Linked DNA regions of Macaca fascicularis. The protein of the gene in region 1 purifies or fractionates together with the protein of each later gene. This does not show direct contact. Links are inferred from orthologs where the notes say so. Each region holds a gene or a part of one and is shown on either strand. Other genes may lie near its edges.

The links. Proteins that work in one complex are often made in the same cells at the same time.
Region 2: the proteins of TP53RK (region 1) and NUP43 purify together in Homo sapiens (affinity purification with mass spectrometry; 3 studies listed by BioGRID and IntAct, counting the BioPlex papers as one, with this or other methods). This does not show direct contact. The link is inferred for Macaca fascicularis from reciprocal best matches to the Homo sapiens genes TP53RK and NUP43.
Region 3: the proteins of TP53RK (region 1) and GON7 purify together in Homo sapiens (affinity purification with mass spectrometry; 5 studies listed by BioGRID and IntAct, counting the BioPlex papers as one, with this or other methods). This does not show direct contact. The link is inferred for Macaca fascicularis from reciprocal best matches to the Homo sapiens genes TP53RK and GON7.

The regions. Positions count from the first base shown.
Region 1 is NC_088384.1:102,738,612-102,748,461, reverse strand, and holds TP53RK (EKC/KEOPS complex subunit TP53RK), read left to right. Parts: upstream 1-4,371; coding exon 4,372-4,654; exon of another isoform or gene 4,655-4,839; intron 4,840-6,807; coding exon 6,808-7,286; 3' UTR 7,287-9,641; downstream 9,642-9,850.
Region 2 is NC_088378.1:57,729,660-57,739,435, reverse strand, and holds the start of NUP43 (nucleoporin Nup43), read left to right. Parts: upstream 1-3,558; 5' UTR 3,559-3,592; coding exon 3,593-3,712; intron 3,713-4,028; coding exon 4,029-4,151; intron 4,152-6,371; coding exon 6,372-6,449; intron 6,450-7,502; coding exon 7,503-7,683; intron 7,684-9,776. Other genes in the region: PCMT1 (protein-L-isoaspartate(D-aspartate) O-methyltransferase), read right to left, coding at 1-48. UniProt on the Homo sapiens protein: Component of the Nup107-160 subcomplex of the nuclear pore complex (NPC). The Nup107-160 subcomplex is required for the assembly of a functional NPC.
Region 3 is NC_088381.1:161,202,973-161,212,525, reverse strand, and holds GON7 (EKC/KEOPS complex subunit GON7), read left to right. Parts: upstream 1-3,335; 5' UTR 3,336-3,393; coding exon 3,394-3,601; intron 3,602-6,640; coding exon 6,641-6,735; 3' UTR 6,736-7,525; downstream 7,526-9,553. Other genes in the region: putative E3 ubiquitin-protein ligase UBR7, read right to left, coding at 63-123, 487-620, 2,990-3,139. UniProt on the Homo sapiens protein: Component of the EKC/KEOPS complex that is required for the formation of a threonylcarbamoyl group on adenosine at position 37 (t(6)A37) in tRNAs that read codons beginning with adenine.

The sequences.
Region 1 (9,850 bases):
AATTGGCTGCAAGTGGTGGCACATTCCTGTGGTCCCAGCTACTCAGGAGGCTGAGGTAGGAGGATTGACTGCTTGAGCCCCAGGAGGTTGCACCACTGCACTGCAGCCTGGGCAACAGAGCAAGATCCTGTCTCAGTTAAAATAAAAATAAAAAAATAAAATAAAACTGGATCATTCCCTCCGACCCCACTCTACTACCCATAGGGTAACCATATATTGTATCATCCAAAATTGGATGCTTTTGAGAGTAAAGAGGGGACACTAGGCTGGGTGTGGTGGCTCATGCCTATAATCCCAGCATTTTGGGAGGCCGAGGCAGGCAGATCACCTGAGGTCAGGAGTTCAAGACCAGTCTATCCAACACGGTGAAACCCCATCTCTACTAAAAATACAAACAAATTAGTTGGGCATGCTGGCATACACCTGTAGTCCCAGCTACTCAGGAGGCTGAGGCCCGAGAATCACTTGAACCCGGGAGGTTGAGGTTGCAGTGAGCCAAGATCATGCTACTGCACTCCAGCCTGGAAAACAGAGTGAGATTCCATCTCAAAAAAAAAAAAGGCAGGGGCACTAATGATAGTTATTCCAGGGTAACAGGTAAAAACTAGGGCTGTCCCTGGCAAGCCCAGATGCAGGTCATCTTTCCCATCCCCCTTCCCCACTTGATTTATCTCCTGCTAGCCCCTGTCAACGACACATTTTCCTTATGTGTTTATTGTCAGTTTCTACCCACTAGAAAATAAACTCCATGGAGGCACTAATAATGATTCTCTATTTTCTTTACAGCTCTGTCCTCAGGGCCTAGCACAGTGCCTGGCCTATAGTAGTTACTCAATAAATATTTACTAAATGAATTAGTGAATAAATGAATGAATGGGCATCTGGTGCTGATGGGTGGGAAGTGAGGAAGAGGCCATAGATTCTCTTTCAGGCTCAGAAAGGGCTAAAAAGTAGAAGCCTCCCTCCCCTTTACTGCTTGGCTGTTCTACCCAGAGCTCAGCTGCATATTTGGCAGCCAGAGGTCAAGGCCTCAAAGGGCCATGCTTGGTGCAGTCACCCCAGGCTCACAGCACCTCTCTTCCAGCAAGAAAAATCCTCTGGGACCAGGCCACTGTCCTTGTTCTTTCAGCTCCCTGCCTGTCCCCAGTGCCAACTTGCTCCAGCCATGTGGAGCTGCTGGTTCTTGTCCAACCCAACTGTACCCTGTGTCTGTTCTCGCTGCCTGGAACCTGAGCACCCTCCCACTCCACCCTCTGACTGAGCTTTCCAGCACCTGAAAAACTCAGTGAAGATGAAGATATGAGAAAATGAGACATGAGTTTGACTGAAGCATAAATAGGCACAAAACTTTGGGAGGGTAGTTTGGCTGAGGTGTTGAGTTTCAAAGTGCTTGTCACCTACAACCCAGTGATATCACTTGGATAAGCCTGCTCCTGCAGCACTGTTTATGAGACAAAAAAAAAAAAAAAGAAACAAAACTGGAGGAGTAACGTTGTTAAAATGTCCTACAGATTCCATGTAATTCCTATCAACATTCCAATGACATTTCTTGTAGAAGTAAAAAATTCTAGAATTTATATAGAATCAGAATAGACTCCATATAGTCAAAGCCATCTTGAGCAAAAAGAACAAAGCTGGAGGCATCACATTACCTGACTTCAAAATATACTACAAAATTATAGGAATCAAAACAGCATGCCACCAGCATAAAAACAGGCACATAGACCAATGGAACAGAATACAGAGCCCAGAAATAAATCCACACACTTATAGTCAATTGATTTTCATCAAAAATGCCAAGAACACATAATGGAGAAAGGACAGTCTTTTCTATAAATGGTGTTGGGACAACTGGATATTCATGTGAAAGAAATTAGACCCTTATCTTATATCATATGCAAAAATCAACTCAAAATGGATTAGACTTTAGTCTAATGTAACAGCCAAAACCATAAAACTCTTATAAGAAAACAGGGACAAAATGCCATGGCATTGGTCTGAGCAATGATTTTTTGTGTATGACCCTCAAAACACAGGCAGCAAAAGTGAAAATAGACAAATGGAATTGCATCAAACTAAAATGCTTCTGACCAGTCAAGAAAAAAGAAAAAAGAGTGAAAAGACAAACTACTGAAAGGGAGAAAATGTTTGCAAACCATACATCTGATAAGGGGTTAATATCCAAATATATAAGGAATCCAATCCAATAGTAAGAAAGGACAAAACCTGAATTAAAAGTGGGCAAAAGATCAAAAGAAATATTTCCCAAAAGAAGACATAAAAATGGACGACGGGTATATTTTAAAAATGCTCAACATCACTAATCATCAGAGAAATGCAAATTAAACCCACAATGAGATATCACCTCTGACCTGTTAGAATGGCTATGATAAAACATAAGAAAGATAAAAAGTGTTGGCAAGGACGTGGAGAAAAGGGAATCCTTGCACCCTGTTAATAGGAATGTAAATTAGTACAGACATTATGGAAAACAGTATGGAGGTTCTTCAAAAAATTAAAAATAGAACTACCTTATGATCCAGCAACCCTACTACTGGGTACATATCCAAAGGAAACAAAATCAGTATATTGAAGAGATGTCTGCACTCCCATGTTAATTGCAGCATCATTCGCAATTCTCAGTCTAAGTGTCCATCAATAAATGAATGGATACAAATATGGTACATTTATATACATAATGGAATACTACTACTCAGCCTTTAAAAAGAATGGAATGCTGTCATTTACAGCAATATGGATGGAACTGGAGGACATTGTGTTAAATGAAATAAGCCAGGCACAGAAAGACAAATATCCCATGATCTCATTTGTATGAGGAAGGTAAGAAAAGTTGAACTCATGCAAGCAGAGTAGAATGGTGGTTACCAGGCGCTGGGGCAGGAGGAGGGAGATTGGGAGGATTTTGAGATGTTAGTCAAAGGACACAAAATTTCAGTTAGGAGGAAACATTCATGAAATCTATTGCACAACATGGTGACTATAGATATAACAATGTGTTGTATTCTTGAAAAATGTGCTAAGATAATAGATTTTAAGTGTCCTCATCCCCAAAATGATGAGTATGTTAGGTAACATTAACTAGCTGGATTTAGCCACTCCACAATGTACACATATTTCAAAACATGTTGCTCATGATAAATACGTACAATTTTTAATTTCCCTTATGTACCTCTTCATCTGGCTGTTCATTTTTTATCTTTTATACTATCTTTTATAATAAACTGGCAATAGTAAGTAAAGTGTTTTTCTGAAAAACAACAAACTGGAAACAACTGCTTAGCAACAAGAAACTGCCTGACCAAGTAGAAGGATGTGGTAGTTCTGTATGTACTGATATGGAATATAGTCCGAGATAAATTGTTTAGGAAAATGAAATGCAAGTTGCAAAAGAACCCACAGTATGATGTCATTTATGTTGGAAAAAAGGCCACAATGATGTGTGAGTGTGCGCACTGAATAAAAGAAAGTTCTGGAAAGAAACTAACGGCCAGCGGTGTCACAAGGAGGATGGGCAGTTTATTTATATGTGTGTGTGCGCGCAAAGTTCCGTATTGTAAGAATTTGCTACAGCCTGTGTTATTAGCTTTGTAATGAAACAGGTAGAAACTGAAAAAGTTTAATTCCTCCCAATTCAGTTTAGGTTCTGTCTCCGGAAAACTTTCCTGGATTCCCCAGCCCCCACTCCCCGCCCCATCCCACCACCCCCACTGCCCTCTCTGAGTCTCAATTTTCTTTTCTGTAAGGATTTTCATCATTTAATCTTATTTCTTCTGAATGCACTAAATGGTAGTTATCCTAGCACTTAAGAGGATGTCGGAAACACGGTTCATTGTCTGACCCTTCCGACACTGACTAGTATGAGTACATTCTGGGGGGAATTTAGGAGTCAGGGGAAGAGGTGTTCCAAAAAGACACTACTAGAGGGTGCACCTGTCCAGGAGGAGACTCCTTAAGTGAGCAAAGAGCGTCCGACGTTTTTCTCGAGAGGAGCTGAAGTTCTCCGGAAAGAGACGACCAACTGGGAGGTGATCTCCCAAAACCGGTTGCGGGAATCACCGAAGATTTCCGGAGAGCCAAGGAGTAGGGAAGAGCCACTTACCGAGAGTTGCCGAACGTGTACGGAGATAGCCGAAGAGGTGAAAGGCGGGGCCACAGGAGCCCTTCCTGCAGGGAACCCAAGGCTTCAGAGAGCCGAAAGGTTGGGAGGCGTAACCACTCACAGGCCGGAAGTGTCCGGGGCGGAAGCGTTCGGGTAACCGAAGAAGTACCAGGATTTCCGAAGCGAGCCGAAGCATCGCGACAGTTTTCAGAGAGAGCGGGTCGGTCGGAGCTGTACCGCCGAGCACAGTCATGGCGGCGGCCAGACCTGCTGCCCCGGACGATGGCGAGGAGCCCGCGCCAGAGGCTGAGGCTCTGGCCGCGGCCCGGGAGCGAAGCAGCCGCTTCTTGAGAGGCCTGGAGCTGGTGAAGCAGGGCGCCGAGGCGCGCGTGTTCCGCGGCCGCTTCCAGGGCCGCGCGGCGGTGATAAAGCACCGCTTCCCCAAGGGCTACCGGCACCCGGCGCTGGAGGCGCGGCTTGGCCGGCGGCGGACGGTGCAGGAAGCGCGAGCTCTCCTCCGCTGCCGCCGCGCGGGTAAGGAGGGCCCGGATCCTGGCGTGGGCGGCCCCGAGGCTCTAGGGCCTGGGCGGGTGAGGGACTCTCCTGCGCTCCGAGCCACGGTTTGCCTCAGTTTCTCCTTCTGTGCCTTCTGCCGTGGCCAGCCTTTCGGAAATGTTATTCTTTCATCCCTTTCTTCATTCGTTAAGTCTTAAGAAACCACGTGGCCTTGCAGCGTCAAGCGTTTGTCCTGGGGCCGTTCTGCCAGGTTCAAATCTGGACGCTGTCATTATTGCTCAACGTCGAACATCTTTAACTTCCCTGAGCCTTGATTTCCCCATTTGACTCGTTTCAATTTTCGATCATTATCTTTTCATTTATTAGTTTTAAGAAACATGTAATTACAAGTACTTGCCCCACTGGAGCCAGGCTGTCTGGGTTGAAATACTAACTCTGCTGCTTATGTAGCCTTTCAACAAGTTATTTAGCCTCTCACCTTCGGTTTTTTCACCTGTAAAATGGGAGACATAGTAGCAATATCCATGTCATAGGGATGTTGTGACCATTAGAGGAGGTCTGTGTGCAGTGTATTATGTTCGAATGTGTGCCTGGCACATAGTGCTCAGTAAGTGTTGGATTTCATTAAATTGCCTATTTATTGTGCGCCAGCGCCATAAACCTTGTCCTCAGTTGAGAAAGTGACACTCAGAGAGAAGTAACTTGCCCAAGGTTACACGGCTACTAAGTGGCCGGTCCAGGCCCTCAGCTCCGTATGCCTCTGACTCAGAAGTACTGGCTTTTTAATTTTACGCTTCGTGCCTTTCTTTTATTAGTATTTTTTAGGTACTTGTGGGTGCCAGGACATTGTTAAGTGCTGGGAGATCTAGCAAGGGGGGACATTCAGTAGCCAACAAGCAGACACATTGCTGCCCTTTCAGAGACTGAAGATTTCACGAACTTATTTGTGTGTTCATATTTCTGTTTTCAGCCTCTTATGATATGTTTCGTTAAGCAGAGATTGTATTATAGCTGGCTTGTTTATTGCTGTATCCCCATTGATACATCTCTCAGTTTCTAGAAAAGTATACTGAGCCTGGTTGACTTTCAGTAAAAATTCATTTGAGTTTATTGTAGCAGAAACTGAGACTTAGAGAAGTTAATGTAATTTTTTTTTTTTTTTTGAGACGGAGTCTCGCTCTGTCCCCCAGGCTGTAGTGCAGTGGCCAATCTCGGCTCACTGCAAGCTCCACCTCCAGGGTTCACGCCATTCTCCTGCCTCAGCCTCCAGAATAGCTGGAACTATAGGCGCCTGCCACCACGCCTGGCTAATATTTTGTATTTTTGGTAGAGACGGGGTTTCACCATGTTAGCCAGCATGGTCTCGATCTCCTGACCTCGTGATCCACCTGCCTTGGCCGAGAAGTTAATGTAATTTTAAGATTAGATTAGACAACTAATAAGAAAAGGAGCTGGGATTTGAACCCTGTCCTCTCTGACTGTGAAGATGAACCTCGAAGCCAGCACACTGCTTGGCCTCCTGTTTGTGTCCTCATCAGTAGAAACTGCTCTGACTGGGCTGTGCCTTGCTGTTTGTTTTTGTATTTTGAGACAGTGTCTCACTTTGTCACCCAGGCTGGAGTGCTGCAGTGGCGCAATCTCGGCTTACTGCAACCTCTACCCCCTGAGTTTGAGCTATTCTCCTGCCTCAGCCTCCCGAGTAGCTGGGACTACGGGTGCATACCACCACGCTCTGCTAATTTTTGTATTTTTAGTAGAGATGGGGTTTCACCCTGTTGGCCAGGCTGGTCTCGAACTTCTGACCTCTAGTGATCCGCCTGCCTCGGCCTCCCAAAGTGCTGGGATTACAGGCATGAGCCACCACACCCAGCCTTTGTTTTGTTTGTTTTTTAGAGAGTGAGTGTGACAAATGAAGTTCAGTGAGAAAGGGTGGTTTGGAAGGGAGGAGGAAGCTATGGCCTCCTCAGTTTAGCTGTGGGGTGGTCCCAGGTATAGTCCTGCAGGGGGCAGGAGCAGGGGAATATTCCATTCAGTTGTACCATTCCCTGTAGCATTCCTAAATCATCCTGAAATAAGTAGATATAGATGGAAAAACTGGCTTAATCTTTGAAAATTAAGTTTATCCATTAAAAAAAAATCCAACCCAATAACCACTTATGTCTTGATTTCAGGAATATCTGCCCCAGTTGTCTTTTTTGTGGACTATGCTTCCAACTGCTTATATATGGAAGAAATTGAAGGCTCAGTGACTGTTCGAGATTATATTCAGTCTACTATGGAGACTGAAAAAACTCCCCAAAGTCTCTCCAACTTAGCCAAGACAATTGGGCAGGTTTTGGCTCGAATGCACGATGAAGACCTCATTCATGGTGATCTCACCACCTCCAACATGCTCCTGAAACCCCCCCTGGAACAGCTGAACATTGTCCTCATAGACTTTGGGCTGAGCTTCATTTCGGCACTTCCAGAGGATAAGGGAGTAGACCTCTATGTCCTGGAGAAGGCCTTCCTCAGTACCCATCCCAACACTGAAACTGTATTTGAAGCCTTTTTGAAGAGCTACTCCACCTCCTCCAAAAAGGCCAGGCCAGTGCTAAAAAAATTAGATGAAGTGCGCCTGAGAGGAAGAAAGAGGACCATGGTTGGGTAGGAAAATGTGTATGACAGCCACACACAGTGAAGCTCTTTTTTCAAAGTAAATTTGAAGAAATACTAAAAGTATGAGATGAGATCTAAGTAAAGGTGTTAAGATATTTTTAAGTGGTGTGTGATCGTGCCTGTGGTGTCATTATCATCTGCACTTCACTCTACTCAAGAGCTTATTATGTGTCTGAGTCATGTTCTAGGCAGAACTGGGTATTTAAATCTAGGACAGGCTTCTCCCAGATTGTGACATGTATGTCTCAGTTATATGGGTGTGGCATTGAACCACATAATGAGAATGTTACTCTCTTTTTAGTCCTTGTGAGACAAGGATGAAGTCTCAGTGATGCTCACTGAGCTTACTGGCCCTCTAACCCAGTGTTTTTTTTGTTGTGTACATGATATATTTATTTTGAAACCAGTTTAATGGGATACAACCAGCATTTTTTAAAATGAAATAGAATTGCAGCATAGAAAATATCAATGTATTGTTTTATGAAACTTTCACATGTATATGTAGACAAGGATATGTACTGAGTTTTGATGTCAAATATATTTCTCTTTCAGGGTCATGATCAAAAAATGAAAAATCTGCTTAACTCCAATTTCTCTTTTAAAAAAGCAGACTTACAGCTTTCAGGCAACTGAAATTCATGTTAACATTGTTTTTATTTTTATTGTTTTGTATTTTTGTGGTTACCTTCTAAGACAAGTGATTGATATAAAGTTCCTTTTAAGTTTATACAGGTAAGCAAACTGAGTTGATTTCTGTCACAGGCAATGAGTAGGTAGAGCAAAAATGATGAAGTGACTTGTGAAGACTGAAGTTTGATGAAGTCTGGTTTAAGGTACAGATAAGCTGAGTGTGGATGCAAAGGTACCAGGAGCTAGCTTTTAACCTTGCCCAGCCTCAATTTCTTTTCTTAGAAGAAGCTGTGTGTGGGTGGGAAGGGAACGGATGTATAATAAAATACCTTTCTTCCTTGTAAACTCCAATCAACAAACATATTTTGAGTACCTTTTATGTTCCTTGGCACCCTGTTGGGTGTTGGGTACAATGGTGAGCCAGACAGACATAGCGCCTGTTCTTTTGTAAGAAAATTTATTTTTATAAAAAATTATAAAGTAGTGTGATGTTTTGATACACATTATGAAATGATGACTACACCCGAGCTAATTAACACCCATCACCTCACATAGTTACTTTCTTGTTTCTTAATATAGACATTTACAGCTATGAATTTCTCTCTGCACACTTTTCATCACACACTCTCAGTTTTGGTATTTTGTGTTTTTGTTTTCATTAATCTCGAAGTATTTTCTAATTTCCCTTGTGATTTCTTTTTTGACCACTTGATTGTTTAGAAATCTGTTAATTTCCACACATTTGTGAATGTTCCAGTTTTTCTTTTGTTACTCATTCCTAGCTTCATTCCGTTGTGTTGAGAGATGATACAGTCAGTGCCTGTTCTTATGAAGCAAACATTCTGTAATAGTAGGACCAGTACCCTGTTTGTTTCGTTCATCACAGTCAGCACTCCCCCAGTGTCCAGCATGGGGTGGATGGCCAGGAATGGTGAAAACTCCCTTCCTGGGTAGTTGTGACTCGTAGAGAGGAAAAACAGTATCATTGCCTGTTTACTGCATGTCAGGCATTGGGCTGGGAATTTTTATATTGGATCTAAAATAACTCTTAAGTTAAGCGTTGTCCCCATTTTATAGATGGAGAAACTGGCACCAAAAGGTGGGAACTTGTCCTAGACGTCACAGGTAGCCAAAGGTACTTTTACTTGGCTCCAAATCTGTGTTCTTTCCACTGACAAAAGAGATATGGGATATGGTGCGTCTTCACAGTACTATAAGAAGTATTGGCATATAACATTATTTTCAAGGAACTCCAAGGACCACAGGAGCTGACAAGTTTTTCAATTAATATTCCCAACATGAATGAGATGCCTCATTCCTCAGTTTCCTCACATGTACTATAAGGCTAGTACCTACTTTGTGGGGTATGGTTGGCTTATGTGCATTAAATCAACAAAGCCCTAGTTGATATGGTTTGACTGTGTTCCCACCCAAATCTTATCTTGAATTGTTCCTGTAACCCCCACGTGACACGGGAGAGACCTAGTGGGAGGTAATTTAATCCTGGGGGCGGCTACCTCCATGCAGTTCTCGTGATAGTGAGTGAGTTCTCATGAGATCTGATGGTTTTATAAGGGGCTTTTCCCTCTTTTTGGCACTTCCTGCTGCCATGTGAAGAATGATGTGTTTGTTTCCCCATCCGCCATGATTGTAAGTTTCCCGAGGCATCCCCAGCCATGCTCAACTGTGAGTAATTAAACTTCTCCTTTATAAATTACCCGGTCTCGGGTATGTCTTTATTAGCAGCGTGAGTAATACACTAGTACTCACTATGTGCCAGGCACTGGAGATCTAATAGAGGGGAACATGAAGTTTACTTTCCTGGGGAACGTAAAATAAGGCAGTTTCAGACAGTGATGAGTGAAGAGGTGAAGGAAAACCAGAAACACGGGAGATGAAGGGAGTATATCCCAGGCAGGCTGTGGC
Region 2 (9,776 bases), on another chromosome or scaffold:
GCTGTTACTGCCGTCGCCGCTGCTGCCGCCACTGCGCGCTCCCGGCATCCCCCGCGGCACGCATGCGCTCTGTGACGCCGCGCGGCCTAGGGTGCGGCCGGGTGGGGCCGAGGGCGGGGGAAGCGTGTGGCCCAGCTGCCCGCGCGTGTGGCTGCTGTGGCTGCTGCGGCTGCCAGGGGGACTGCAGGGAGGCCAGGCTGAGTCAGCGCCACCGCCGCTGCTGCGTGTCCCTTTCTGAGGCCTCGAACCGCACCGACTTCGCCCTGCGGCCGGGCTCCGTAGCCTGATCAGTCGCGTTCCCGGCTGCGTCTCCGGTCACCGAGCGGGACGGCGGGATGGCGGGGTCGATCTTTGCAGACGCTCCTTGTGGTTCCGCAGTCGCTGCTGGGTCAGCTGTTTCGAGCGGCGGATCTCCTCCTATAGATGTCCAGATTGTTAGACGGTGGGCTTCATCCGTTCCTACCTCGCCCAACCCAGTTGACTGGTATTTGGGTCTGTGGAGCCCGAATAACACAATAAGAATAAAACCCAACGACAAAGGCCCTCTCTAACCCGAGTACACCGGCCTCTGGCTTTGTGACAAACATGTCACCGTTAGGCTAAGCAAAGACTTTGGAACCCTGGTTCTAAAGCTGTCAGGGAGTGGAAGAATACCAGGACATGGGGGTGGGGGTTGGGGCAAAGCTTTGCTCCCTTAGAATAATACGAACGTAAAGAATTGCGATTGGTTAAAAAATACCACTGTGTCCGCTGGTGAACGTGTTATTCTCCCGACAAAAGTGTGCATTTCCACCTAATTAAGCCTCACAAATTCCACCATAGCTTTATTGCTATCAGCTCTGCAAGACCATGAGTGAGAAGCTCACTGAGAACATTGCTTGTCGCGTCCAAATCGCTGACTCGTAATTTGACCTGAGACTGACAGAATCCAGCCATCACTTAGTCCAGTAATCTTTTTTTTTTTCTTTCTTTTTTTTTTTTTTTGAGACAGAGTCTCGCTCTGTCGCCCAGGCTGGAGTGCAGTGGCGCGATCTCGGCTCACTGCAAGCTCCGCCTCCCGGGTTCAGCCTCCTGAGTAGCTGAGACTACAGGCGCCCGCCACCACGCCCGGCTAATTTTTTGTATTTTTAGTAGAGACGGGGTTTCACCGTGTTAGCCAGGATGGTCTCGATCTCCTGACCTCGGGATCTGCCCTCGTCCGCCTCCCCAAGTGCTGGGATTACAGGCGTAAGCCATTGCGCCCGGCCTCCAGTAATCTGTTGGAAGGAAACAAGGCTAAGACATCTGTGCTACTATGTCAGCACAATTTTCAAATTCTAGTTCTTACCCGATTTTGTAAAATGTGACACTGGCCTGTTTCCCATCCAAAATCGTCACTACCTATTTTCTGGGATTCTGTGACCATAAATGAAACTACTGACAAAACTGGGTTTTTTGTTTTTGTTTTTGTTTTTTGAGACGGAGTCTCGCTCAGTAGCCCAGGCTGGAATGCAGTGGCACGATCTTGGCTCACTGCAACCTCCGCCTCCCAGGTCCGCGTTCAAGGAATTCTGCCGCAGCCTCCCGGGTAGCTGGAATTACAGGCACGACCACCATGCCCAGCTAATTTTTTTGTATTTTTAGTAGTAGAGTTTCACCATGTTGGCCAGGCTGGTCTTGAACTCCTGACCTCGTGATCTGCCTGCCTCGATCTCCCAAAGTGCTGGAATTACAGGCATGAGCCACCGTGCCCAGCCAAAACAGTGTTCTTTACTTCAATATTAAACATGAATAAATTGTTGATTTGGGACTGTAACCCACTTAATATTTTCCATTTCATCTTTTCTACAGTTTCTTGATGATCTTCCATTTGGTGAAAAGAAAAAAGTCAAATCCTTGATAGGAACCTGATAACTCTAAAGCTGAGCCAGACGGATTGCATTTACATGCAGTGCTTCCCTAAACTGTCCCTGTGAAGTAGGACTACCAATATCACATAAAAACAACAATAGCATAATGGCCCTTTTTAAAGAAACAACCAACATACAGTTATGAATACCTGTAGTATTAAAGAGGTTCATTTTTTAGATAAGTCATACCTCTTGTATTCAGTAGGATTTACATTCTTTTTTTATTCTTTTTTTTTTGAGACGGAGTCTAATTCTGTCGCCCAGGCTAGAGTGCAGTGGCTGGATCTCAGCTCACTGCAAGCTCCGCCTCCCGGGTTCACGCCATTCTCCTGCCTCAGCCTCCCGAGTAGCTGGGACTACAGGCGCCCGCCACCTCGCCCGGCTAGTTTTTTGTATTTTTTTAGTAGAGACGGAGTTTCACCGGGTTAGCCAGGATGGTCTCCATCTCCTGACCTCATGATCCGCCCGTCTCGGCCTCCCAAAATGCTGGGATTACAGGCTTGAGCCACCGCGCCCGGCCGGATTTACATTCTAATTAGGGAGGAATATGCATCTTAAGAAAACTAACGATAGAATATATCCAAAATATATGTAATAGTGGCCTAGATATCAAATGCAAGCTCACGCCTGTAATCCCAGCACTTTGGGAGGACAAGGCAGGCGGATCACCTGAGGTCAGGAGTTCGAGACCAGCCTGGCCAATATGGTAAAATCCCGTCTCTACCAAAAAAAAAAAAAAATAGCCAGGCATGGTGACACGCACCTGTAGTCCCAGCTACCCTGGAAGCTGAGGTGAGAGAATCACTTTAATCTGGGAGGCGGAGGTTGCAGTGAGCTGAGATTGTGCCACTGCACTTCAACCTGGGCCACAGAGTGAGACCCTGTCTTCAAAAAGAAAAAAAGCGATGTTGATTTAGATCAACATTGGCTGGGGGCATCAGGAAATGGTTAAGGAAAGAACAGATCCTTGAAGGATAGGCAGGATTCTGAGGAGTAAAGAGGAAGGGAAGAATATTATAGGTGTAACCAAAAGCACAGAAGGAACCTAGAAAACTGATTCCTGGGCTATTGACAATAGATATCACAAACCTCATTCTTAATCATGCACATAATTAAATTGACCAAAGCTAGGCAATTGGCATCAAAACTAAAACTGGAGTCTTTCAGAATTCTAACTCCAGGCTCTGACAGTGTGTATTAACTTTCAAGCAAAGTATTTGTTTGGGGGACAAGAGGGAGAGGTTTAGGATAGTAGGTTGGCACTGTATTCGAGGTACTTCCATGAGTATTTAAGGATTTTTGAATTGTTTTCTATGCGCAGTGACCTGCAACTGCTTAGGTGTGGTTTCAAGGTGGTTTCTACTGTATTGATTTTGTTCTATTTTTGCTCTTAAATTTTACACTGCACAATTATTGAACACAAGAAAATACTGATATTTTAGATTAGGAGCAAGTCCTACTGCTCAAAGGCCAAAGCGCTCTTGCCTTTGCTCAGAGTCGCTCTAGGAGATGGGCCTCTCGGTCTAGGTTCTCCCAGTTTGTATACTGACCGTGCCCACACTGGCTACCGAAGAGAATTGACTCTCTGCAGCCACCGTCTCCCTCCTAAAGTCCCATCCAATCAGGGTTCCGCGGGAAGAGGCGGGGCTGAGAGGCGCGCGTTGTGCTTGCTTTTTGCAGTGCCTGCTGCGGCTGCTTTCGGCATGGAGGAAATTTATGCGAAGTTTGTGTCTCAGAAAATCAGCAAAACCCGCTGGCGACCGCTGCCTCCCGGAAGTTTGCAAACCGCGGAGACGTTTGCTACCGGATCTTGGGACAATGAGGTATCCCTGCTGATAGGGACGAGCCCCTGCCTCTTCCCTCCCTCCGGTTGAGCTGACCCCTGGCCGCGCGCGCGCCAACTCCCACCTTCTGGTTTTTCTCGCACTTCTAGGTCCCTCGGACCCTGTCTCAGGCGCGGTTGCGCCATAGCTCAGAACCCGTGATGGTGTGCCTGAGCCTCATATCTCGTTACGTTTTAAACTCACCATACTATTTGTCTGAGATGTTTTGGAGCAAGCTTTCTGGACGGAAGCGCAACTTTTATTTTCCGATAGTTGACGTTTATGTCATCTCAAGACAAAACTCTTTGTTTTACAGGAAAATTATGTTTCACTGTGGTCTATTGGAGATTTTGGAAACTTGGACTCTGATGGAGGGTTTGAAGGAGACCATCAATTATTGTGTGATATCAGACACCATGGTGATGTCATGGATTTACAGGTAAATCTGTGTAGCATCCAAAAGCTAACTTTGAAAGTCCTGAGTAATACATTTAAACAAGCAGAGCATCATAAAGGTTGTCTTGTATCACCCCTCATTTACAAAAAACTGAGTGCTCTGTAAGTTATGATTTGGCCGACATCATTTAGCCATTTAGTGGCAGAAAAAGGACTGGGAAAGGGGATGTAGATTTAATCATACTTTTTTATTTATTGACCGTCGACTATGTGCTAAGTACCGTTTGGGGAGCTTTACAAAAATTAATTATTATTGGTTGCCGGTATATCAAGTATTGTTACTTTGTTTTACTAATGAGAAAATTGAGACTAACATATCTTAAGCATGTACTATGTGACAGATACTGTGCAGGGGGATTAACATCATTTTGTTTTTTGAATTCTCATGACAACTCCCTAAGCAGAGATTAGTGCTCCCGTTTTAAAGATTTACCACGATTTAGTGAACTTAACTTGGCCAAAGTCTCAAAACCAGTAGTGAGTGGTGGGGATGAAATTGAGCTTTCTTTTTTTCTTTTTTTTTTTTTTTGAGGTGAAGTCTCACTCTGTCTCCCCGGCTGGAGTACAGTGGCATGATCTCGGCTCACTACAGCCTCCACTTCCCGGATTCAAGCGATTCTCCTGCCTCAGCCTCCCAGGTAGCTGGGACTACAGGCACAGGCCACCACACCCGGCTAATTGTTTGTATTTTTAGTAGAGACGGGGTTTCACCATATTAACCAGGATGGTCTTGAACTCCTGATCTCGGCCTCCCAAAGTGCTGGGATTGCAGGAGTGAGCCACTGTGCCTGGCCGAAATTAAGTTTTCAAATCCTGGTGTGGAGAGCCCCTGCATTTTATTCTATAGAAAGCTACCTAGCCCTGGTGTACGCCTGTAATCCTAGCTACTCGGGAAGCTGAGGCAGGAGAATTGCTTGAACCTGGGCGCAGAGGTTACAGTAAGCTGAGTGCACGCCAGTCTGGGCAACAAGAGCGAAACACTGTCCCAAAAAAAAAAAAGAAAGAAAAAGAGACAGAGAGAAGAAAGAGAAGAAAGCTATCTAGCCCTAGGAAAGATCTTTTTTTTTTTTTTTTTTTGAGACGGAGTCTCACACTGTCACCTGAGCTGGAGTGCAGTGGCACGATCTCAGCTCACTGCAACCTCTGCCTCCTGGGTTCATGCAGTTCTTCTGCCTCAGCGTTGAGTAACTGGGACAACAGGCATATGCCTCCATGCCTGGCTAATTTTTGTGTTTTTAGTAGAGATGGGGTTTCACTATGTTGGCCAGGCTGGTCTTGAACTCCTGACCTCGTGGTTCACCCGGCTTGGCCTCCTGAAGTGCTAGGATTACAGGCGTGAGCCACCATGCCAGGACAATATTTTTCCTTTCTTTTTTTCTTTTTTTTTTTTTTTGAGATGGAGTCTTGCTCTGTCGCCCAAGCTGGAGTGGTGCAGTGGCACTATCTCGGCTCACTGCAACCCTGCCTTCTGGGTTCAAGCGATTCTTCTGCCTCAGCCTGCTGAGTAGCTGGGAGTACAGGCACCTGCCACCACGCCCAGCTAATTTTTGTGTTTTTAGTAGAGACGGGGTTTCAACATATTGGCCAGGCTGGTCTCAAACTCCTGGCCTCGTGATCTGCCTGCTTCAGCCTCCCAAAGTGCTGGGATTACAGGCATGAGCCACCGCGCCTGGCTTTTCTTTTTAAAAATTTTTATTCTGTTTTTGAAACTGAGTCTTGCTCTGTCAACCAGGCCGGAATGCAGGGGCTCGATCTTGGCTCGCTGCAAGCTCCGCTTCCCCACAACCCCGACTCATTTTTGTATTTTCGTAGAGACGAGGTCTCGCCACATTGCCCAGGGTGGTCTTGAACTCCTGAACTCAAGCGATCTGTCCGCCTAGGCCTCTCAAAGTGCTGGGATTACAGGCGTGAGCCACCGCACCCAGCCAGGAATGGTATTTTTCTAACGTTTTATTGTGTTGGTCTCAAATTAAATCAATGGCGGGTAAATGTGTCTAGGAAAAAAATACTGTTTATTCATGAAAATGCTTTGTATGGCAGTTTGGACTTTCAGCTCCATTAACACATGTTATTTGCTTAGCACTCATAGGCTCTTTGCTTTTTAAAATTGTTATCATTTGCTACTAATTGAGTTAAATAAATGAATAGATTTCCTCCCTGCTAGTATTTCTGAGTCTTTAACAAGCAGAAATTTTCTCTTTAGTTTTTTGACCAGGAAAGAATTGTCACTGCTTCATCAACAGGATGTGTAACAGTTTTCCTTCACCATCCGAATAACCAGGTAAAGAACTTCAGTTTGAAAAGTGATTTTTTTTTTTTTTTGGAGATGGAGTTCTGCTCTTTTTGCCCAGGCACTGGAGTGCAATGGCACAATCTCGGCTCATCACAAGCTCCGCCTTCCAGCTTCAAGTGATTCTCCTGCCTCAGCCTCCCAAGTAGCTGGGATTACAGGCATGTGACACCATGCCCGGCTAATTTTATATTTTTCGTAGAGACGGGGTTTCTCCATGTTGGTCAGGCTGATCTCGAACTCCTGACCTCAGGTGATCAGCCCTCTTCACCCTCCCAAAGTGCTGGGATTATAGGCATAAGCCACTGCTCCCGGCCAAAGGTAACGTTTCTAATAGACATGCCTAGTAAATATAAGACCCAGTTCGTGTTAAAGGTTTTTTGAGTCATTTAGAAAAAGCTACAGAGATTAATATTTTTTTAATTAATTAATTTATTTATTTTGAGACAGAGTCTCTCTCTGTCGCCCAGGCTGGAGTGCAGTGGCACGATCTCTGCTCACTGCAGCCTGCACCTCCCTGGTTCAAGCAATTCTCCCACCTTAGCTTCCCAAGTAGCTGGGATTACAGGTGTGTGCCACCATACCTGGCTAATTTTTGTATTTTTAGTAGAGATGGGATTTCACCATATTGACCAGGCTGGTCTCGAACTCCTGACCTCAGATGATCTGCCTGCCTTGGCCTCCCAAAGTGCTAGGATTACAGGCATGAGCCACAGCCATGGGCCAGAGATTTATATTTTAGATGTAGGTTAATTTCCATAAGAATACAAAGAGTTGCTTTTGAACATCCAACTGCTTGATCCCTAAAAGTCATTACTGTAGTTTGAGATAAATGTGGGGCATTATTAAACAGTATTTCTTTTGAATCTAATTCTATGTATACAGAACTTTGATGCAAGTAGTTTCTAGATTTCATTATTCTAAAGGAAAAAAGATTTATTCTTGTAGAAGGATGTGAGTCAGAATTTAAAGATACTCTTGTTGGTAAGAAGTGCTAGTTCCTTAGTACTTTTCTTTAATAGTATCCTCATTTCTGATGCCTAGACTCTGTCAGTCAACCAGCAGTGGACTACAGCTCACTACCACGCAGGCCCTGGCAGTCCTTCCTATAGCAGTGCACCATGTACAGGTGTTGTGTGCAATAACCCAGAAATCGTTACAGTTGGAGAGGATGGTCGAATAAATCTCTTCAGAGCTGATCACAAGGAAGCTGTAAGAACCATAGGTAAGAAAAATCCCAGCCTGGCCAACATGGCAAAACCTTGTCTCTATTAAAAATACAAAAGTTAGGCTGGGTGTGGTGGCTCACCCTGGCAATCGCAGCACTTTGGGAGGCGGATCACCTGAGGTTGGGAGTCCAAGACCAGCCTGACCAACATGGAGAAACACTCTCTCTATTAAAAATACAAAATTAGCCGGGAATGGTGGCACATGCCTGTAATCCCAGCTACTTGGGAGGCTGAGGCAGGAGAATCACTTGAACCCGGGAGGCAGAGGTTGCAGTGAGCAGATTGTGACATTGCACTCCAGCCTGGGCAATAAGAGTGAAACTCTGTCTCAAAAAAAAAAAAAAAGAAAAGAAAAGTGAGCCAGGCATGGTGGCGCATGCTTGTAATCCCAGCTACTCAGGAGGCTGAGGCGGGAGAATCACTTGAACCTGAGAGGCGGAGGTTGCGGTGAGCTGTGATGGCACTCTACTCCCACCTGGGTGACAGAGGGAGACTCCATCTCAAAAAAAGAAAAATCATTGTATTCCTTTCATTCATCACAGAGTAATTGAGTGCTTACCATATACTAAGTAAACACTGCCAGGCATGATGGCTCATGCCTGTTACCCCAGCACTTTGGGAGGCCAAGGCAGGCGGATCACAAGGTCGAGAGATTGTGATCATCCTGGCCAACATCGTGAAAGTCTGTCTCTACTAAACATAACAAAAATTAGCTGGGTGTGGTGGCATGCGCCTGTAGTCCCAGCTACTCAGGAGGCTGAGGCAGAAGAAGCGCTTGAACCTGGGAGGTAGAGGTTGCAGTGAGCCAAGATTACACCACTGCACGCTAGCCTGGCGACGAAGCAAGACTCCATCTCAAAAATAAAAGTAAACACAATGAGCCGGGCGCGGTGGCTCACGCCTGTAATCACAATACTTTGGGAGGCCGAGGCGGGCGGATCACAAGATCAGGAGATTGAGACTATCCTGGCTAACATGATGAAACCCCGTCTCTACTAAAAATACAAAAAATTAGCCTGGCATAGTGTCGACAGTTGTCTGTAGTCCCAGCTACTCTGGAGGCTGAGGCAGGAGAATGGCATGAACCTAGGAGGCAGAGCTTGCAGTGAATCGAGATCGCACCACTGCACTCCAGCCTGGGCGACAGAGCGAGACCCCGTCTCAAAAAAAAAAGTAAACACAATGTTAAGTGATTGAGGGATATAAAAATATATGGCTGGTAGCAGTGGCTCATGCCTATAATCCCAGCACATTAGGAAACCAAGGCAAGCAGATCATTTGAGGCCAAGAGTTTGAGACCAGCCTGGCCAACATGGCAAAACCCTGTCTCTACTGAAAGTACAAACATTAGCTGGGCATGGTGGCACACGCCTGTAATCCCAGCTGCTTGGGAGGCTAAGTCATGAGAATTACTTGAACGTGAGAGACTGAGAGGCTGCATTGAGCCAAGATCACGCCACTGCACTCCAGCCTGGGTGACAGAGCAAGACTCAGTCTCAAAAAAATACATGTACACATGCACACACATGCACGCACGGCAGGATCCCTTTGTCAAGAGAGTAGGTTGATGAGGCCAGTACGAATGACTGACTAGAAGAAACAGAAACCATTTTTTTTTTTTTTTTGGCGAGAGGGCATTATCAGATAAAGCATCTGGGAGTAGGTAGTAATTAATAGTTTTTCTGGGTTCTAGACCATAAGTAAGACTGAAAGATGGCGTGCTAGACAAAGGGAATAGGCCAGAGGCAGGATAAAGACATTCAGAGAATGACAAAAAGTATGGTTTGACCTGACTTTAGATATCTATGTAGGAGAGATGAAAGATGAAGCAAGAGAGGGGTAAACTGGGGCCAGATTGCAGAGTCTGTAATGCAAAATCACAGAGGTTTCATCTTTTTTTTTTTTTTTTTTTTTTTTGAGACGGAGTCTTGCTCTGTCACCCAGGCTGGAGTGCAGTGGCCAGATCTCGGCTCACTGCAAGCTCCGCCTCCCGGGTTCACTCCATTCTCCTGCCTCAGCCTCCCGAGTAGCTGGGACTACAGGCACCCACCACCTCGCCCGGCTAGTTTTTTGTAATTTTTAGTAGAGA
Region 3 (9,553 bases), on another chromosome or scaffold:
CCCTCTGGCAAATATTAACCCCAGCTGCTCTAACTGCATTTATAGTTACAGTGTTTACTTACAGGAAGTAATTTGCATTCCAAAGTTTTAAACTTGCTGTTTCCACAATCACAACGAAAATTTCTGAAAAAAGGAGGAAATAACAATTTTATTTTTCTTTTTACAAAATCCAATTTAAAATTTCTTCAAGCATTCAAGCACATAAGACTTCACAATTCTGGAAATTAATATGTACAGAAGCAAATATTTATATCACATACACACAAACACACACAAGTAAAATGATGGTAGAGAAAGATGAGTAGTTTGAGTTTGTACCATATTATGTTTTTAAAGGCTCTGGAAACTCCAATTATATAAAATAATTACATGAAATTTCACTACTGTACAACAGCTTTGCATGAAAAAACATGATAAGGAAAAAGTGTAGATGGGACAGAATCTACACTTCAAAAGCATTTAGTAACAATCTCTGACTATGTTTACCTTTTTGTGTATAGCTCAAATAGTTTGTGACTTCCATGACATTCATAACTGCAAGCTAAACAAATTCCTGCTGGTTCTTCTCCCTCTGGGGTGCAGGTACTACAGGCATATAGTGCTTGCCTCTTTACTGAGCCCTAAAAGCCCCCAAAATGGAAAAGAGAATTAATGTAATAGCATGGCTTACCTAATACCCACACTAGGAACTGAAAAATAATTAAAATCAGATTATCTGTGGTCAAGATCTTTCTGTAAAAACCATTAAGACTAAAAAGTTTACACAGCAGAGCATCAACCAAAACACAGTTGTGTTGCATGTTTCATTTTTATACTAGTGCTTTTCATGCAAGCACTTTTTTCTTTCTTCCTAATTTATTTATTTTTTGCAGAGACGAGGTCTTGCTATGTTGCCCAGGCTTGTCTCAAACTCCTGGGCTCAAGCAGTTCTCTGCCTTGGCCTTCCAAAGTTCTGGGATTACAAGCATTAGCCATGACACAAGTCAGCACTCCTTTCTTAAAGTGATAGGATGTCTGAATTTGTCAGTCGGCTGTGAATAAATGAATCTGTTTAATCATTTTAACAGGTGAAAACACAGGAGCATATGTATAGGTTTATGTAAGTAATATCACACTTTCATCCTGGAAAATGTTTGTAAATCCACCAAAGAGAGAATCAACACATGCAAAGAATCTCTTTGATTTTTAGGAGATGCATGCTGAAGTATTTAGAGGTATAGTGTCATCATGTCTGCAACTTATTTTTAAATAGTTCAAAATTTTAAAACAACAAATTTTAAGTAGAAAAGGAGATAAATGTGACAAAATGTTAAAAAGTGAATATGTAGGCTGGGTGCAGTGCTCACGCCTGTAATCCCAGCCCTTTGGGAGGCCAAGGTGGGCAGATCACCTCAGGTCACGAGTTCAAGACCAGCCTGGTCAGCGTGGTGAAACCCCATCTCTAAAAAACCCCATCTACTAAAAATATAAAAATTAGCTGGCCGTGGTGGCGGGCATCTGTAATCCCAGCTACTCGGGAGGCTGAGACAGGAGAATCGCTTGAACCCGGGAGGTGGAGGTTGCGGTGAGCCAAGATCATGACATTGCACTCCAGCCTGGGTGGCAAGAGTGAAATTCCATCTCAAAAAAAAAAAAAAAAAGTGAATATGTATAATAGGTATAGTTACCTTCCTCTAGGAAGGAGGAAGAATAGACAAGGAGGCTTCCGGGATGCCAGTAAAATTCTATTTCTTTCTTTTCTCTTTTTTTTTAAGTTCTTTTCCAATAAGCCTTTTGCACTCCTAATGTTCTATTTGTTGATCTGGGTGGTGGGAACATGCACACTTTCCTTTCAAGCTGTGTACATGATTTGTGCAAATTTCCATATTTTTTTTTTACCACAATAAAAAGAAAACATTAAGGGAATCCATTTTATAAAGGTAACTACACTTCAAAAATAGTTTACATACAGACTTAGAACTTTTTTTTTTTTTTTTAAGGAAAGCAGGCGAAAAATTGTTTTAGTGGTGACCAAAGGTTTTAAAGTACCTGGGGCTATGTCTGGATACCAGGTTTATTCAACAATCTAGCACTTTGCAGTGTAAACTAAACTTGGTCAACAACGAGAACTGGTATTATGACCTCAGTTCATACCACATAATGAATGCAAGTCTCTCCTCTCATCTCCCCAGTGTTCCAATCCACCCCTCTGCCTCGGTAACCCTTCTTCCTGCCAGTTCTTATCCTTTGTCAGTCTTCTTCCTACCCATCCTTTTCCATTTTTGTGCCTCGAAGTATAGGGTGAGTCACTAAACACATCACACCCCCTCAAACACTTGCTCACTCACAACGTCTTCCAAATGCCAAATAGATCCTTTTCTCCTCTCTCCCCTCCCCTGCCAGAGCCACTTGCTGTTCTGTTTCCGGTCTATTTCCAGGGGAGGAGGGCAGACTGCAGACAGACATGGGTACTTGCTCCATTTTGCCAAAAAAAGAAAGAAAAAGTACTAGCTAGCACTTGTCAAACTAAATTGCAGAGGAACTAGCTGTCAAGGAGCTCACCGCAAATCCCTATGGATTTGAAAATCTCTTTAACCTGACGTCTCCCATTTGGTCCCTAATAAATAAATAAATAATCTTAGGATGGGAAAAGCAGGGACAAAGATGTCTGGATCTGAGAGGTCGCGGGCTGGTTTCGTGAAAAGCAGTGGTGCACCAGGACGAGGCTGGAGAGGACGGACAGAGCAGCTGCTCCAGGGTCCTTCCTGGCTGGCCGGACAGAGTTAGAGAGAGGGGAGATGGGGGCCCCTGCTGGACACAGGCTGAAGGGGGCCCAGGAGGTTGGGGATAAAAGGGAAGGGTGGGCTTGGGGTAAGGAAGCGGCAGACTAACGGCGGCCCCGGACCACCACTGGGGAGACGACTGCGGCAGGCGGGAATAGGGACAGCCGGGCCGGGAAGGGGAGGTTCGGCGGGAGCCGCGGGAGACAAGGCCCGGGCCGCGTGCCCACCTGCGAGTAGGAGCACTTCTCGGAGTCGCTGCCGCCCAGGACAGCACACGCCTCATTCTCCAGCTCCTCGTCCTCCTCGAGGACGTCGACCAACGATACCACGGGCTCCAGCTCCGACTGCCGCCCAGCGGAGCCCTCGGCTCCGGCCATCCTCAACTGTCACCCGAACCGCGGCTCGGCCCCGGCGGAGGCGGGAAAAGCGGCCACGAGGGGCGTAGCCGGAGGAGGCGGGGCCCGAGTGCCAGGAACCAATGACAAGGAAAAAAGGCGAAGGAAGGGGGAGGAGCGACTTCCGACAAACGGATGTCACTCCTCTCCCTTCTGCCGCCTGCGCAGGCCACGGGCTGATTTCCGCCTCCGGGTGGCGCTTCCCGGTGTCGTGTTCTGGAAGCTTAGTGGTCACCATGGAGCTGCTGGGAGAGTATGTCGGGCAGGAAGGGAAGCCGCAGAAGCTGCGGGTGTCCTGTGAGGCGCCGGGTGACGGCGACCCTTTCCAGGGCCTATTGTCTGGCGTGGCCCAGATGAAGGAGCTGGTAACGGAATTATTCGGCCCCCTGGTACAGGCGGAAGTGCAGCACCGGGTGGCGGCGGCTCCAGACGAGGCCCTGGACGGTGAGCTCTGAGACGGTGCTGCAGCGACAGGAGGACGGGGCGGGAGCCAGGGGAAATTGGCTTGGGGAGCCCGTGTAGAGTGGCAGACTTGGACAAAGTGAGCCTCGAGGAAAGAAGAATTGCATCTAAAAATTTTTGGCGGGCCAGGCGAAGTGGGGCTCACTCCTGTAATCCCAACACTTTGGGAGGGCGAGGCAGGAGGATCACTTGAGGTCAGGAGTTCCAGAACAGCCAGGGCAACATATCGAGACCCCGTTTCCATTGTTATTTCAAAGATAATTTAAAAAATAAAAATTGTTGGCATTTATCACTATATTTGGGCTGCTTCTACTCAAACATTTCCACGACTCATCGCTATTTCATTTATTTCACTAAAAAACTTGCCGAATGCCTACTACTATTTGCCAAACCCTGAGCTGAGCCCTGGAGGAAGAATGAGGTCAATGCGACTCAGTTCCTGCCCTTGTGAAACACAAGGGGATTATACAGGCAGACACTCTTATTAAAAGTGAAAGTGGCCAGGCTGGTAGCTCACGCCTGTAATCCCAGCACTTTGGGAGGCTGAGGCGAGCGGATCACGAGGTCAGGAGTTCGAGACCAGCCTGGCCAATATGGTGAAACCCTGTCTCTACTAAAAATACAAAAATTAGCTGGGAGTGGTGGCGGGCACCTGTAATCCCAGCTACTGGGGAGGCTGAGGCAGAAGAATCGCTTGACCCCGGGAGGCGGAAGTTGCAGTGAGCCGAGATCGTGCCACTGCACTCCAGCCTGGACTACAGAGCGAGACTCCGTCTCAAAAAAAAAAAAAAAAGAACGTGGTTCTATGGCCCTCTGTAAGTGTTGCAAACCCAGAGACCCTCGGAAGGCTTCAAAGAGGATAAGACTTTTGAGCTGGAGTATTGAATAAAAAGGAGTTTTATCAGGTGTGAAACTACAGACATATTTGGAAGAGTACAATCTATCGCAGAGTAGGAACAGGTTCCAAGGAGTGGGACAGACTTAATTTTAACATGTATTAACTCCTAGAGACTCCCTTGCCTTTCCAGTTTTGTAGGTGCAGTTTGAAAGTAGAAACGTGAAGTTTAACTGCATTATTTTTTAAAAATTGCCTCGAATGCAGAAATAGGCAGGTACTTTTTTTTTTTTTGAAATGGAGTCTAGCTCTGTTGCCCAGGCTGGAGTGCAGTGGCACAATCTCGGCTCACTGCAACCTCTGCTTCCCGGGTTCAAGTGATTCTCCTGTCTCAGCCTCCCAAGTAGCTGAGATTACAGGCGCCCGCCACCACTCCCAGCTAGTTTTTGTATTTTCAGTAGAGACAGGGTTTCACTGTGTTGGCCGGGCTGGTCTCGAACTCCTAACCTCGTGATCCACCTGCCTTGGCCTCCCAAAGTGCTGGAATTACAAGCCTGAGCTGCTGCACCTGGCCAGGCAGGTACATTTTAACTGTCCTGAGCTGAAAAATCCAAGAATAGATATTAGAGTTAGGATTTACAATTCTCTAAGAAGAGCTTAAACTGTACTTTCCTTCCATCTTGGGAATTACATCTTGATAATATGGATGTTGGCTATGATCAAAAAGAACAATAACAAGTGTTGGCTGGAATGTGGAGAAATTGGAGATCTTGTACATTGTTGGTGGAAATGTAAAACAGTGTAACCACTGGGAAAAAGAGTTTGGTAGCTCCTCAAAAAGTTGATATGAAGTTACCACATGACCCAGCAGTTCCACTGGTAGTCCTCGCAAGAGAACTGGAAAGTATGTTCACACAAAAACTTACACATGAATGTTCATAGCAGCAGCATTTATAGTGACTAAAATGTGGAAACAACAATTGACCGGGCTTGGTGTTGCACCTTTAGGAGGTGGGAGGATCACGTGAACCCAAGAGTTTGAAGCTGCAGTGGGCTGATTGTTCCACTGCACTCCAGCCTGGAGGACAGAGTGAGGCCCCATCGCTTCATCTCTAAAAATAATGATAATTTTAAAAAATAGAAATAATGCAAATATCCATCAACTGATGAGTGCATTAACAAAATGTGGTGTATCCATACAATGGAATATTATTAGCAATAAAAGGTAATGAAGTATTAATACGTGCTACAACATGAATGAACCTTGAAAACATTATGCTACAGTGAGAGCCAGACACAGAAGGGTACATGTTATATGATTTTGTTTATATGAATGTACAGAATAGGCAAATCCATAGAGAGAGATTAGTGAGCTGGGTGCAGTGGTGGGCACCTGTAGTCCCAGCTACTCTAGAGGCTGACACAGGAGGATCACTTGAACCTGGGAGTTTGAGTCTAGCCTGGGCAACATAGCAAGACCCTCTCACTAATAAAAATTAAGGGGGAACAAAAGTAGATTAGTGGTTGCCGAAGGCTGAGGGAAAGTGACTGCTAATGGGCATAATTCATTTCTCTTTGGAGTGATGAAAGTGTTCTAGGATTAGAGAGTGGTGATGGTTGCACAATCTAGTGAATATACTAAAAACCACTAAGCGGTACACTTTTAAAAGTGGATTTTGGCCGGCTACAGTGGTTCATGCCTGTAATCCCAGCAGTTTGGGAGGCCAAGGCATGCAGATCACGAGGTCGGGAGATCGAGACCATCTTGGCCAACATGGTGAAACGCTGTCTCTACTAAAATACAAAAAATTAGCCGGGCATGGTAGCGCGTGCCTGTAATCCCAGCTACTTGGGAGGCTGAGACGGGAATCACTTGAACCCTGGAGGCAGAGGTTGCAGTAAGCTGAGATCGCGCCACTACACTCCAGCCTGGTAACAGAGAAAGACTCCATCTCAAAAAAAAAAAGAGACTGGATTTTATGATGAATGAGTTAATATTTCCAAAGAGGAAAGTGATAGAAAATAAAGATTTTAAACACTGAAATTCTCAAAATCATTTTAATCTAAAATGTGCATGGTTTTATTAATCTCTAAAGTGAAATGGTCTCGTTATCAACCACTTTAGCTATATATATTTCTTTCAACCATAGAACGTATTGTCATACAACAAATATTTATTTTAAAAGGTGATGATGAAGATGATGCCGAAGATGAAAATAACATTGATAACAGAACTAACTTCGATGGACCATCTGCAAAACGGCCAAAACCACCATCTTAACAATAGCCTTTATGACATTTAAAAGATGGCTGTTGTATCCCAATTGTCACACTAGGACATTTAAGGAAGACTTATGCTCTAATTTGGAAAAGCATTTGTGTTGTTTTCCTGGGACAATTTTGCCAAAGAGAAAACTGGTTTTTCTGTTTCTAGCAAAGACAGTAAAGGCTTAGAAATAAAATCTGTTTTCTTGAGAAATAAATTTCAGACCGTGGGAGGAAAATAGAACACTTCATAATATATAAAATCCTCTTAAGTTGGCAACTGAATTTTTATCATTGTTTTCTATTTTTAAAATAACCATTGGTTTGTGTGATGTCTACATCTTTTAACTTCTGCTTCTGTTATAAACAGTACGTCATGGTTCATAGGCAGTAACATTTCAGAGAACTGACATGAACAAGTGGTGAAAAGTGGGCATTAAATGTAAAAATAACAGTTCTTCATAAATAGAAGGAAAATGAGGAAATAGAAATACTGAAGAGAGAGTCCTTGAAAGAGACCCAAGGAAACCCTGAATTCATACCCATGTCAAAGATACAGATATCCTGAGATGATGCCGCTTGATGAATGTGCATTAATCTGATTTATCATGTACCTTAAGAGAGCCAGATGGGGTAGGGTATGCTTTTGTGCTGTGATATAGTATGTATACAGGTACAAATGGAAGGCCTTAAGTAAATAATCTGCGTTGATTACAATTTGGATATTTCCTCTCCTCCTGTAGCCATGCTTTGATTTAGCTTTAAAAAGATTATTGAATCCTTTAAAAATATATATTCCTAAAGTATGTATGTGTGTGTTTCTTTTCTGCTTGTCAGTGGGACTAAGGCATGTTTATTCACTATGCATCCTTCCTGATGTAGATAGCTTCAATGCAAAGAAATCAAGTAGCATGTACCTAGTAAAATACAAATAGTCATGGGATTTTAGAGTTGAAAGTAACTTTACAAACTATGTGATTTATTTCACAGATAAATCTCAGGATAAGTATTTGCCCTCAGATTACAGAGTACTGGGTTACATAAATAGCCTTTAGGTTTTTTTTAAGCTGATAAAAGGTGAGAGAAATCATTAATCAACTTTTTTTTTCTTTTTTTTTTTTTGAGACAGAGTTTCACTCTTGTTGCCCAGGCTGGAGTGTATTGGTGCGATCTTGCTCACTGCAACCTCTGCCTCCCGGGTTCAAGCAATTCTTCTGCCTCAGCCTCCCAAGTAGCTGAAATTACAGGCATGTGCATTTTAGACAGGGTTTCACTCTGTCACTAAGGCTGCAGTGCAGTGGCACGATCTTGGCTCACTGTCACTGCAACCTCCGCATCCCAGGCTCAGGTGATCCTCCCACCTCAACCTCTCAAATAGCTGGGACCACAGGCATGCACCAGCACATCCAGCTAATTTTTTTGTATTCTTTGTAGAGATGGTTTCACCACATTGCCCAGGCTGGTCTAGAGCTCCTGGACTCAAGGGATCTGCCCACCTCAGCTTCCCAAAGTGCTGGGATTACAGGCAAGAGCCCACCATGCCTGGCCTAATCAACTTTTTTTTTTTTTTTTTTTTTTTAAAGACTAAGTCTGGCTCTGTCGCCCAGGCTGGAGTGCAGTGGCCGGATCTCAGCTCACTGCAAGCTCCGCCTCCCAGGTTTACGCCATTCTCCTGCCTCAGCCTCCCGAGTAGCTGGGACTACAGGCGCCCGCCACCTCGCCCGGCTAGTTTTTTGTATTTTTTAGTAGAGACGGGGTTTCACGGGGTTAACCGGGATGGTCTCGATCTCCTGACCTCGTGATCCGCCCGTCTCGGCCTCCCAAAGTGCTGGGATTACAGGCTTGAGCCACCGCGCCCGGCCTAATCAACTTTTATGAATCACTTTTATTATGAAATAATTTAATTTTCATATCATTGAAAATCTATATACCTTTTCATATCATTGAAACACTGTTTTACTTTGGAACAGCAGCCTTCCACTAAGTACTCTTGGGCAATCAAACAATGCCAACTAGAAAAAGTTATAGATCGTCAGAAATTATCTGTTTAGTTTATGCTGATGTTTCTAATATTTAGCTGTTATTTATTATAGTACTGTTATCTCTATACAATCATTAAAGAAAAAACTGGTTGGGTGCAGTGACTGATACTTACAATCCCAGCACTTTGGGAGGCCAAGGCGGGCGGATCACCTGAGGTCGAGAGTTTGAGACCAGCCTGACCAACATGGAGAAACCCCATCTCTACTAAAAATACAAAACTAGCCTGGTGTGGTGGCGCATGCCTGTAATCCCAGCTACTTGGGAGGCTGAGGCAGGAGAATAGCTTGAACCTGGGAGGCAGAAGTTGCAGTGAGCCGATCGTGCCATTGCATTCCAGCCTGGGCAACAAGAACGAAACTCCATCTCAAAAAAGAAAAAAACTTACCTGTATATACGGAAAATAGATCACATTGTTAAATTGATATCTGAACCTTTTCTCTGAACATTTTATGTTTCCTTTGGAAAATGTGGGTATAAAGAAGAAATTTCAAGATAATATTTGTGTTTGTGGCCCAGTGTTTTTAGATTCTGATTTATAAGATTGGTCTTTTAATTAATTTTAATACTGATTTCAATTCTAATACTGTCTTCTTTGTAAGAAAGCCACATGTTTGACAAAGATGGGCCAGTATAGAAGAAATGCTTTGCCAGGTTTTCTAATCTGCTGCTGCGCTTGGGTGTCACTGTCACTCAGGCTGGAGTACAGTGGCACACTCAGCTTACTGGAATTCCTGGGCTCAGGTGATCCTCCCACCACAGCCTCCCAAGCAGCCAAGCACTAGGTGTGTGCC